Xenopus tropicalis: one gene and its partner. The protein of the gene in region 1 interacts with the protein of each later gene in a biochemical or structural test. Links are inferred from orthologs where the notes say so. Each region holds a gene or a part of one and is shown on either strand. Other genes may lie near its edges.

Evidence for each region. The genes of interacting proteins can lie anywhere in the genome.
Region 2: the proteins of rbsn (region 1) and rab5c form a complex in vitro, tested with the Homo sapiens proteins (2 studies listed by BioGRID and IntAct, with this or other methods). The link is inferred for Xenopus tropicalis from reciprocal best matches to the Homo sapiens genes RBSN and RAB5C.

The regions. Positions count from the first base shown.
Region 1 is NC_030680.2:132,257,184-132,261,499, reverse strand, and holds the start of rbsn (rabenosyn-5), read right to left. Parts: upstream 2,839-4,316; 5' UTR 2,834-2,838; coding exon 2,681-2,833; intron 6-2,680; coding exon 1-5. UniProt on the Homo sapiens protein: Rab4/Rab5 effector protein acting in early endocytic membrane fusion and membrane trafficking of recycling endosomes. Required for endosome fusion either homotypically or with clathrin coated vesicles.
Region 2 is NC_030686.2:6,904,581-6,908,234, reverse strand, and holds part of rab5c (ras-related protein Rab-5C), read right to left. Parts: intron 3,522-3,654; coding exon 3,370-3,521; intron 2,338-3,369; coding exon 2,215-2,337; intron 584-2,214; coding exon 490-583; intron 1-489. UniProt on the Homo sapiens protein: The small GTPases Rab are key regulators of intracellular membrane trafficking, from the formation of transport vesicles to their fusion with membranes.

The DNA.
Region 1 (4,316 bases):
CTGCCCTAAATAAGTCGGGTAAAGATATGATTAGTGAATATATCCGATTCAGAAAAACACCTCTCACAGCTTCTCATATCCCTGACAGTTATACAAACCACAGAACATATATAATCCTTACATTCACCTTTTCATGACATTGACTATCGGCACAAGGATGCTTCCATCATTTAAAGAAAGAATTATAATTCAGACAATATTATCGGAGGGGGGGGGGGTGCTAAGAAACCAGCAACCACCTCAAAGGTGAGATCCCCGGGGATGTACCAGGGGTAAGCAGTGAAACACAAGGGTAAGTATTAGTGTGCATGTTATGACTCTGGCACAGCTGAGGACTGCAAACAGATTCCAGTTATTGTTTAACAACTCAATTGTTAATTCTTAATAGCTGCTGGGTTAAAAGTACTTGGGCAAACAAGGGCATTTCCATACAGTTAGAAGTCTATTTGGCAAGCAGAAGGCTATATCTGTCAGATTACCTTGGCAGTTCCTAGGCTGCAGGCTTTTTATACAGGTCAGGGAACTCCTTAATGACCTCTAGCATCCTTATATTATACAACAGGGGGTACAATATTTCATATATATTTTTAACAGGCTATTCATGGAGTTCTTGTTACAGCTATACCCTGTGTCCTCCACCCCCCTAGAAATATTCACCCTGACCAGGGGTGGGCTGTCAATAAGAATTATTGGCACTAAAGTGATATAACTGGCCCATCCCATTGCCTACCTCTCAACATAATTCTTCAGAACCACACAGTATAATATTAATTGAAATTTAACATCAAATCGGGTCAGTTTAGCGTCACCCAATATACAAATGACTGACAGACCATTGGTTCTTTGACCAACCTCCTAATGCTTCTCTTATGATTAACTGATCATTATGGGTGCTGCTTCTCTGCTGTGTGATAGGCGGGTATGGAACAGTGTCATTAATAAGGCCCTCAGAATATATATATGTCATTGTTTGTGGCATGGGGACCCCAAATGTAACATATGTATAGGGGCATCAAATCAAATGTCTGGGGGTCCCAGGACATATTGGTTTCTGATGGGGGTACTGTGGCCCTCCTGCCCACCTTGCCAACGCTCCCCTGTACCTGCCAATAGCTCCAGGCATCCCAAGCTCCAGACTAGACTGTAAGCTCTTCAGTGTAGGGACCTCATCCCTATTGTGTACTGTAACCCCCAGCACTTACACATTGTTACTCGCTGTAACCCCCAGCACTTACGCATTGTTACTCGCTGTAACCCCCAGCACTTACGCATTGTTACTCGCTGTAACCCCCAGCACTTACGCATTGTTACTCCCTGTAACCCCCAGCACTTACGCATTGTTACTCCCTGTAACCCCCAGCACTTACGCATTGTTACTCGCTGTAACCCCCAGCACTTACGCATTGTTACTCCCTGTAACCCCCAGCACTTACGCATTGTTACTCCCTGTAACCCCCAGCACTTACGCATTGTTACTCCCTGTAACCCCCAGCACTTACGCATTGTTACTCCCTGTAACCCCCAGCACTTACGCATTGTTACTCCCTGTAACCCCCAGCACTTACGCATTGTTACTCCCTGTAACCCCCAGCACTTACGCATTGTTACTCCCTGTAACCCCCAGCACTTACGCATTGTTACTCGCTGTAACCCCCAGCACTTACGCATTGTTACTCGCTGTAACCCCCAGCACTTACGCATTGTTACTCCCTGTAACCCCCAGCACTTACGCATTGTTACTCCCTGTAACCCCCAGCACTTACGCATTGTTACTCCCTGTAACCCCCAGCACTTACGCATTGTTACTCCCTGTAACCCCCAGCACTTACACATTGTTACTCACTGTAACCCCCAGCACTTACGCATTGTTACTCGCTGTAACCCCCAGCACTTACACATTGTTACTCACTGTAACCCCCAGCACTTACACATTGTTACTCACTGTAACCCCCAGCACTTACACATTGTTACTCACTGTAACCCCCAGCACTTACACATTGTTACTCACTGTAACCCCCAGCACTTACACATTGTTACTCACTGTAACCCCCAGCACTTACACATTGTTACTCACTGTAACCCCCAGCACTTACACATTGTTACTCACTGTAACCCCCAGCACTTACACATTGTTACTCGCTGTAACCCCCAGCACTTACGCATTGCTACTCCCTGTAACCCCCAGCACTTACACATTGCTACTCGCTGTAACCCCCAGCACTTACACATTGTTACTCGCTGTAACCCCCAGCACTTACACATTGTTACTCACTGTAACCCCCAGCACTTACACATTGTTACTCACTGTAACCCCCAGCACTTACACATTGTTACTCACTGTAACCCCCAGCACTTACGCATTGTTACTCGCTGTAACCCCCAGCACTTACACATTGTTACTCACTCTCCAATATATAATTACTGCACTTGAGCTGCTCTATAATTAAATACAACAGAATTAGAGATTGAGCGTTTGGCAGCAGTACAACCCCAGCATTCTGCCCCTAGCCCTGCTGACAAAGCGATACAGGGAGTCGCATTCTGCCACAGCTGGAGGGTTCATTCCACCCCTGGATACAGCTACACTACCCCCACTACCCCAAATCCTCAGCTGTCCTTCCCCCTTACGTATCCATCACAGGCCAAGGTCTGGCACCCAGCTGCCCACCCCTACACCTACCGCTACAATTCCTTCTTCTACAGCCGCCGCTTCCAATAGTGACTCCCTGTCAGTTCTCCGGGCGCCATGGCTGTCACTCCCGAATCGATTGCTCTGTCGTCCCAGTCCGGGCTGCCACTCAGCCTGAGAAATAGGAGTAGATAGCCGAGTCATCGATAGGCCGAGCTAGGGGAGGGGGCGGGGCAAGAGAGGATGTTGGATCTGCCTGTGACAGGCACGGCCAGGAGTGAGGAGATAAACGGGAAATGTGGGCTGGAGGGAGAGGGGAGCCTGAGGGAGAGGGAGCCTGAGGGACAGGGGGGGGAAGTAATGGTCGCAGTCAGGAAGGAAACTAGTGTAATACACAACGAGCTGCCATTAGGGTGGGGCTTTGGGACCCCAGTAGCTAAGGCTTCCCTATGGGAATGGGCGTGGTGCTAATTGGCTGTAAGGGCGATCCCCAAAAAAATGTTGTTTGCAATAAGTTTCCCATGTTAAGTTCGGGAGCCAGAGCAAGCAATGCAGAGACTGTAACAGCTGGGCAGGCACTGCTATAGGTAGCAATTACATATACAAATTGCTTAGAATTTCATTCTTATCCATTCTCTTCTATGGGGGGGAAGGGGTTAATAAAGTTTGTGCAGTTACTATATGATTGACTACAGTTACTATATGATTGACTATAGTTACTATATGATTGACTACAGTTACTATATGATTGACTATAGTTACTATATGATTGACTATAGTTACTATATGATTGACTATAGTTACTATATGATTGACTACAGTTACTATATGATTGACTATAGTTACTATATGATTGACTATAGTTACTATATGATTGACTATAGTTACTATATGATTGACTATAGTTACTATATGATTGACTACAGTTACTATATGATTGACTATAGTTACTATATGATTGACTACAGTTACTATATGATTGACTATAGTTACTATATGATTGACTATAGTTACTATATGATTGACTACAGTTACTATATGATTGACTACAGTTACTATATGATTGACTATAGTTACTATATGATTGACTATAGTTACTATATGATTGACTATAGTTACTATATGATTGACTATAGTCACTATATGATTGAATTCAGTGCTGTAGCGTGAGGGGGCAATCAGCCCTGTAACCCTTGGATTTGGCCAGAGGCAGGGTTGCCAGATTTATTTTTACAAACCAGCCAAAGTCAGTTCTAAAACCAGCCCAAAACTAGCCAAAAGCCACTTTGAAAATAGCCCAATATGCTCAATGAAAAAAAATTCTAAAAAACATGCCTTTTTAAAGCGTATAATCCCTACCCATGCCCTGCGCCCCCTCTCCAGTTACTGGGATGTTTCCCTGCCCTCTGTGCCCAGTCCATGCAGGGTATTGTAGTTTTGCTGCTTCAGGTTCAGTACAGAGGAATAGAAAAGGGAGCTTCTGTCTATAATTGCATGCTGGGTATTGTAGTTTTATATTAATCTTAGCTGTAGGCTAATTGTAAGATACAAACTACATTACCCAGCATGAACTGGGAAAGGCATGTCAGAAGAGAAAACCTTTGGCTAATTTTAAAACTACAAACCCGCCAAGGCGCCAAAAACTAGCCCAAATTTGTACCTTGGCAGGTTTGTACCCGGGCTTTAA
Region 2 (3,654 bases), on another chromosome or scaffold:
CCAATAAGGGGTAATTATATCTTATTTGGGATCAAGTACAGGTACTGTTTTATTATTACAGAGAAAAAGAAAGGATTATTTGATTTAAATGGAGTCTACGGGAAATTACCTTCCCATAATTTCAAGCATTCTGGAAACCGGTTTCCAGATAACAGATCCTATACCTGTACAATAATGAACCTCTGCTGCACTACAAACTCCTTTTTTTGCTTCCCCCTTAATTGCTAATCTGTGTGTGGCCCTTGCCTACCTGCCTGCCTTTCCGTCACCAACATAACAATCTGTGCTAGTACTGCTTGCAAGATTAGCCTTTCAGCCCCCCCCAGTGCTGGAGTAGATCTTTTGTGCAGAAAAATTAAGCAGGGAGGCATAAATCATCAAGTAACGGGTATAAACTAAAAGCACCAGTAAAAAAAAGAGCAGTACAGAGAGTTTTCAGAAAGGAGTTTTTGTGTATTCATGAGAAGTAGTAAAACACAATAACGTTACCAATGGCCATAAAGATTTCATTCACATTCATTGCGGTTTTAGCAGAGGTCTCCATAAAGAGCAGGCTGTTGTCATCAGCGTATGCCTGAGCTTCCTGCAAATGGAACATTCCATGGTGAGCAAAATAAACCAAGGTATCAGTTAGAAGCAATATATCTGGAACACAATAGATCACTGGGAAAACCAGCAGAGGGGAGCTGACATTTAGTACTGAGATAGATAAATATGCCGGCACAGGAAACATCTGGAGGGATCCATGGAGCCAGCTATTGGGAATTATAACAGCACTGCTCTAAAGGCCCCCGTACACGGGCCAATAGTAGGTGCCGATATGGGTCCCTTAGACAGATTCTGCAGCTAATCGGCCCGTGTATGGGCACTACCGACGGGCACTACCGACGGGCCTACACACCTGTAGGTGGTGATATCGTGAGAAGATCCGCTGGCTTGGCGATCTGCCAGTGTACGGGGACCTTTACACTAGCCAATTGGTTGAGCTGGGAGAGTGCACTAGAGGAGACTGGATGAGCTACAGGCAATGTGACAGCCTTACCTATACGTTGCTAGGGTGAGCTCCACTAAGCAGGGATGAGTCTTCTGCCCATAGTGCAGGCACAGGGAAGGAGCACAGAAGGGCAGTAGTTCAAGGGGCAGACAATGAGGAGAGCACTATGGGCTGGGGTAAGATGCACGGGAATATATATAAATAACAGAGTCAGGCCGGGCAGTGCCATGCATGGACTTGGGATTGACTACAGAATTTCAAAGGAACAGCTCTGTGTAAAAATGAAACGGGGTAAAATAGACAGTCTGTGCAAAATAAAAAATATTTTCAATATAGTTAGGCAAAAATGTAATCTATAAAGGCTGGAGTGGGCAGATGTCTAACATAATAGCCAGAACACTACTTCCTGCTTTCAGCTCTCTAACCTCTTAGTTAGTTAGTGACTTTAGGCGGGGCCATATGGGACATAAGTGTTCAGTTAGTTTGTGAGCACACGGGTCACATTCAAATGCAAACTGACAGTTATGTCCCATGTGGCCCCCCCCTAAAGTCACTGACTGACTAAGAGGTTAGAGAGCTGAAAGCAGGAAGTAGTGTTCTGGCTATTATGTTAGACATCTGCCCACTCCAGCCTTTATAGATTACATTTTTGCCTAACTAACTATACTGAAAACATTTTTTATTTTTCTCTCTCTTACAAAAGTAAATATATTTTAAAAAGTGTACTTTTCACCTTTACATTAACTTTTAGTATGACACAGAGAGTGCTATTTTGAAACAATTTGCAATTGGTCTTCATTTTTTTTTATTATTGATTTTTTTTTAGTTATTTTAATTTTGTTCTGCAATTCTCCAGCTTGGAATTTCAGCAGTTATCTGGCTGCTAGGATCCAATTTACCTTAGTAACAAGGGAGTGATTTGAGAGATTGACCGATATTTGAATAGGAGAGGGGCTGAATAGAAAAATAAGTAATAGAAAGTAACAATATTAATAAAACTGGAGCCTCACAGAGCAATAGTTTTGGCTGCCGGGGTCAGTGACCCCCATTTGAAAGCTGCAAAGAGGCAGAACAGGAAGGCGAATAATGCAAAAACTATAAATGATAAAAAATGAAGACTAATTGAAAAGTTGCTTACAATTAGCCAATCTATAACATATTAAACGTTAAAGGTGAACCAAACCATTAGTATGATATTTCTTAAAAACAAACAAGCTCACCTGAAAATCCACAGCTCTCTTACTGGAGAGGTCGGCTTTGTTCCCAGATAAGGCAATGACAATGTTGGGACTTGCCTGACGCTGAAGTTCTTTTACCCAGTTTTTTGCTCTTGCAAATGTTTCCTACAGAACAAAGTACAGAGCTTTAAAAGAAATTCATAGAGAAAAGTGTTGTACTGAGAACATTCACCTTGAAAATAACTTTTACTAAGATGTAGACGTTGATATTCTCAGACAATTTGCAATTGGTCTTTATTTTTTTTGTAGTTTGTCAGTCGTTTAGCAACCGGATAGCTGCTGAAATTACAAACTGGAGAGCCGCTGAACTGAAAGTTCAGCGGCTCTCCAGTTTGGAATTTCAGCAGCTACCCAGTTGCTAGAGTCTTGTTTACCTTAGCAACCAGGCAGTGGGTGTGAATGAGAGACTGGAATATGAATAGAGGAGGGACTAAATAAAAAGATAAGGAATACAAAGTAATAATTCAAATACAATTGTAAGAAGAAGGTTTTTTTGGCTGCTGGGGGTCAGTGACCCCCCCCCCCCCCCCATGTGGAAAGATGTAGACAAAGAAGGCAAATAATAAAAACTATAAAAAAGAAATAATGAAGACCAATTGCAAAGTTGCTAGGAATAGTACATTCTGTAACATATTAAAATTGCCTTAATTGCTATCTTCTTTTATTATTAAAACCTTCAAAATGTCAAATTTTTCTTGAAAACTGAAATTTGAAAATAGCTTTTTTTTTTTTTAATACAAATTGAACATTTAGGTCTCTTTCTGTAAAATCTGAAATTTTGCAAAAATTCAAGTGTTTTTTTTTCCATGAAACTGAAAAAAAGCAGTATAAAAAAACCTCAAAATCATAAATCTGTCGTATAATGTCAAGAATAAATATTTACCATTGAGGGGGAAAAAAAGTGGAAAGTTGCTTGAGTCACTGCCTTTTGTACTTTGTACTAAAAATTTATCCAAAAAAGTGCTGGTACTAGAGAGCCTTCCCATTGGCTGCTTTCCCAGTCTGTGACAAGAGAGCCAGCAGCAGGACCTTCCCCGCGTGGAGGCAGATCTGTGATTGGCTGCTCTCTGGAGAGGGGCAATTAGGACAAGGACTGAGCAGAGAGATAGGGCATTATTTCATGTAATGTGCACTTACTGTATTGGTGATGTCATAAACTACAATGGCTGCCTGGGCTCCTCGGTAGTACATGGGGGCCAAACTGTGATACCTCTCCTGCCCTGCCGTGTCCCAGATCTCAAACTTCACCGTTGTATCATCCAAACATAAGGTCTGTGTTAGAAAGGCAGCTGGAGATAGAAGTACATAATATTATTGTTATTATTATATACATATTAGCACTATTATGATTGTGTGAGGGTAATGTTGGTAAGGTTGCTAAGGTCTGTGACGAGTTGCTAAGGTCAACACAGAGGAGGAAAT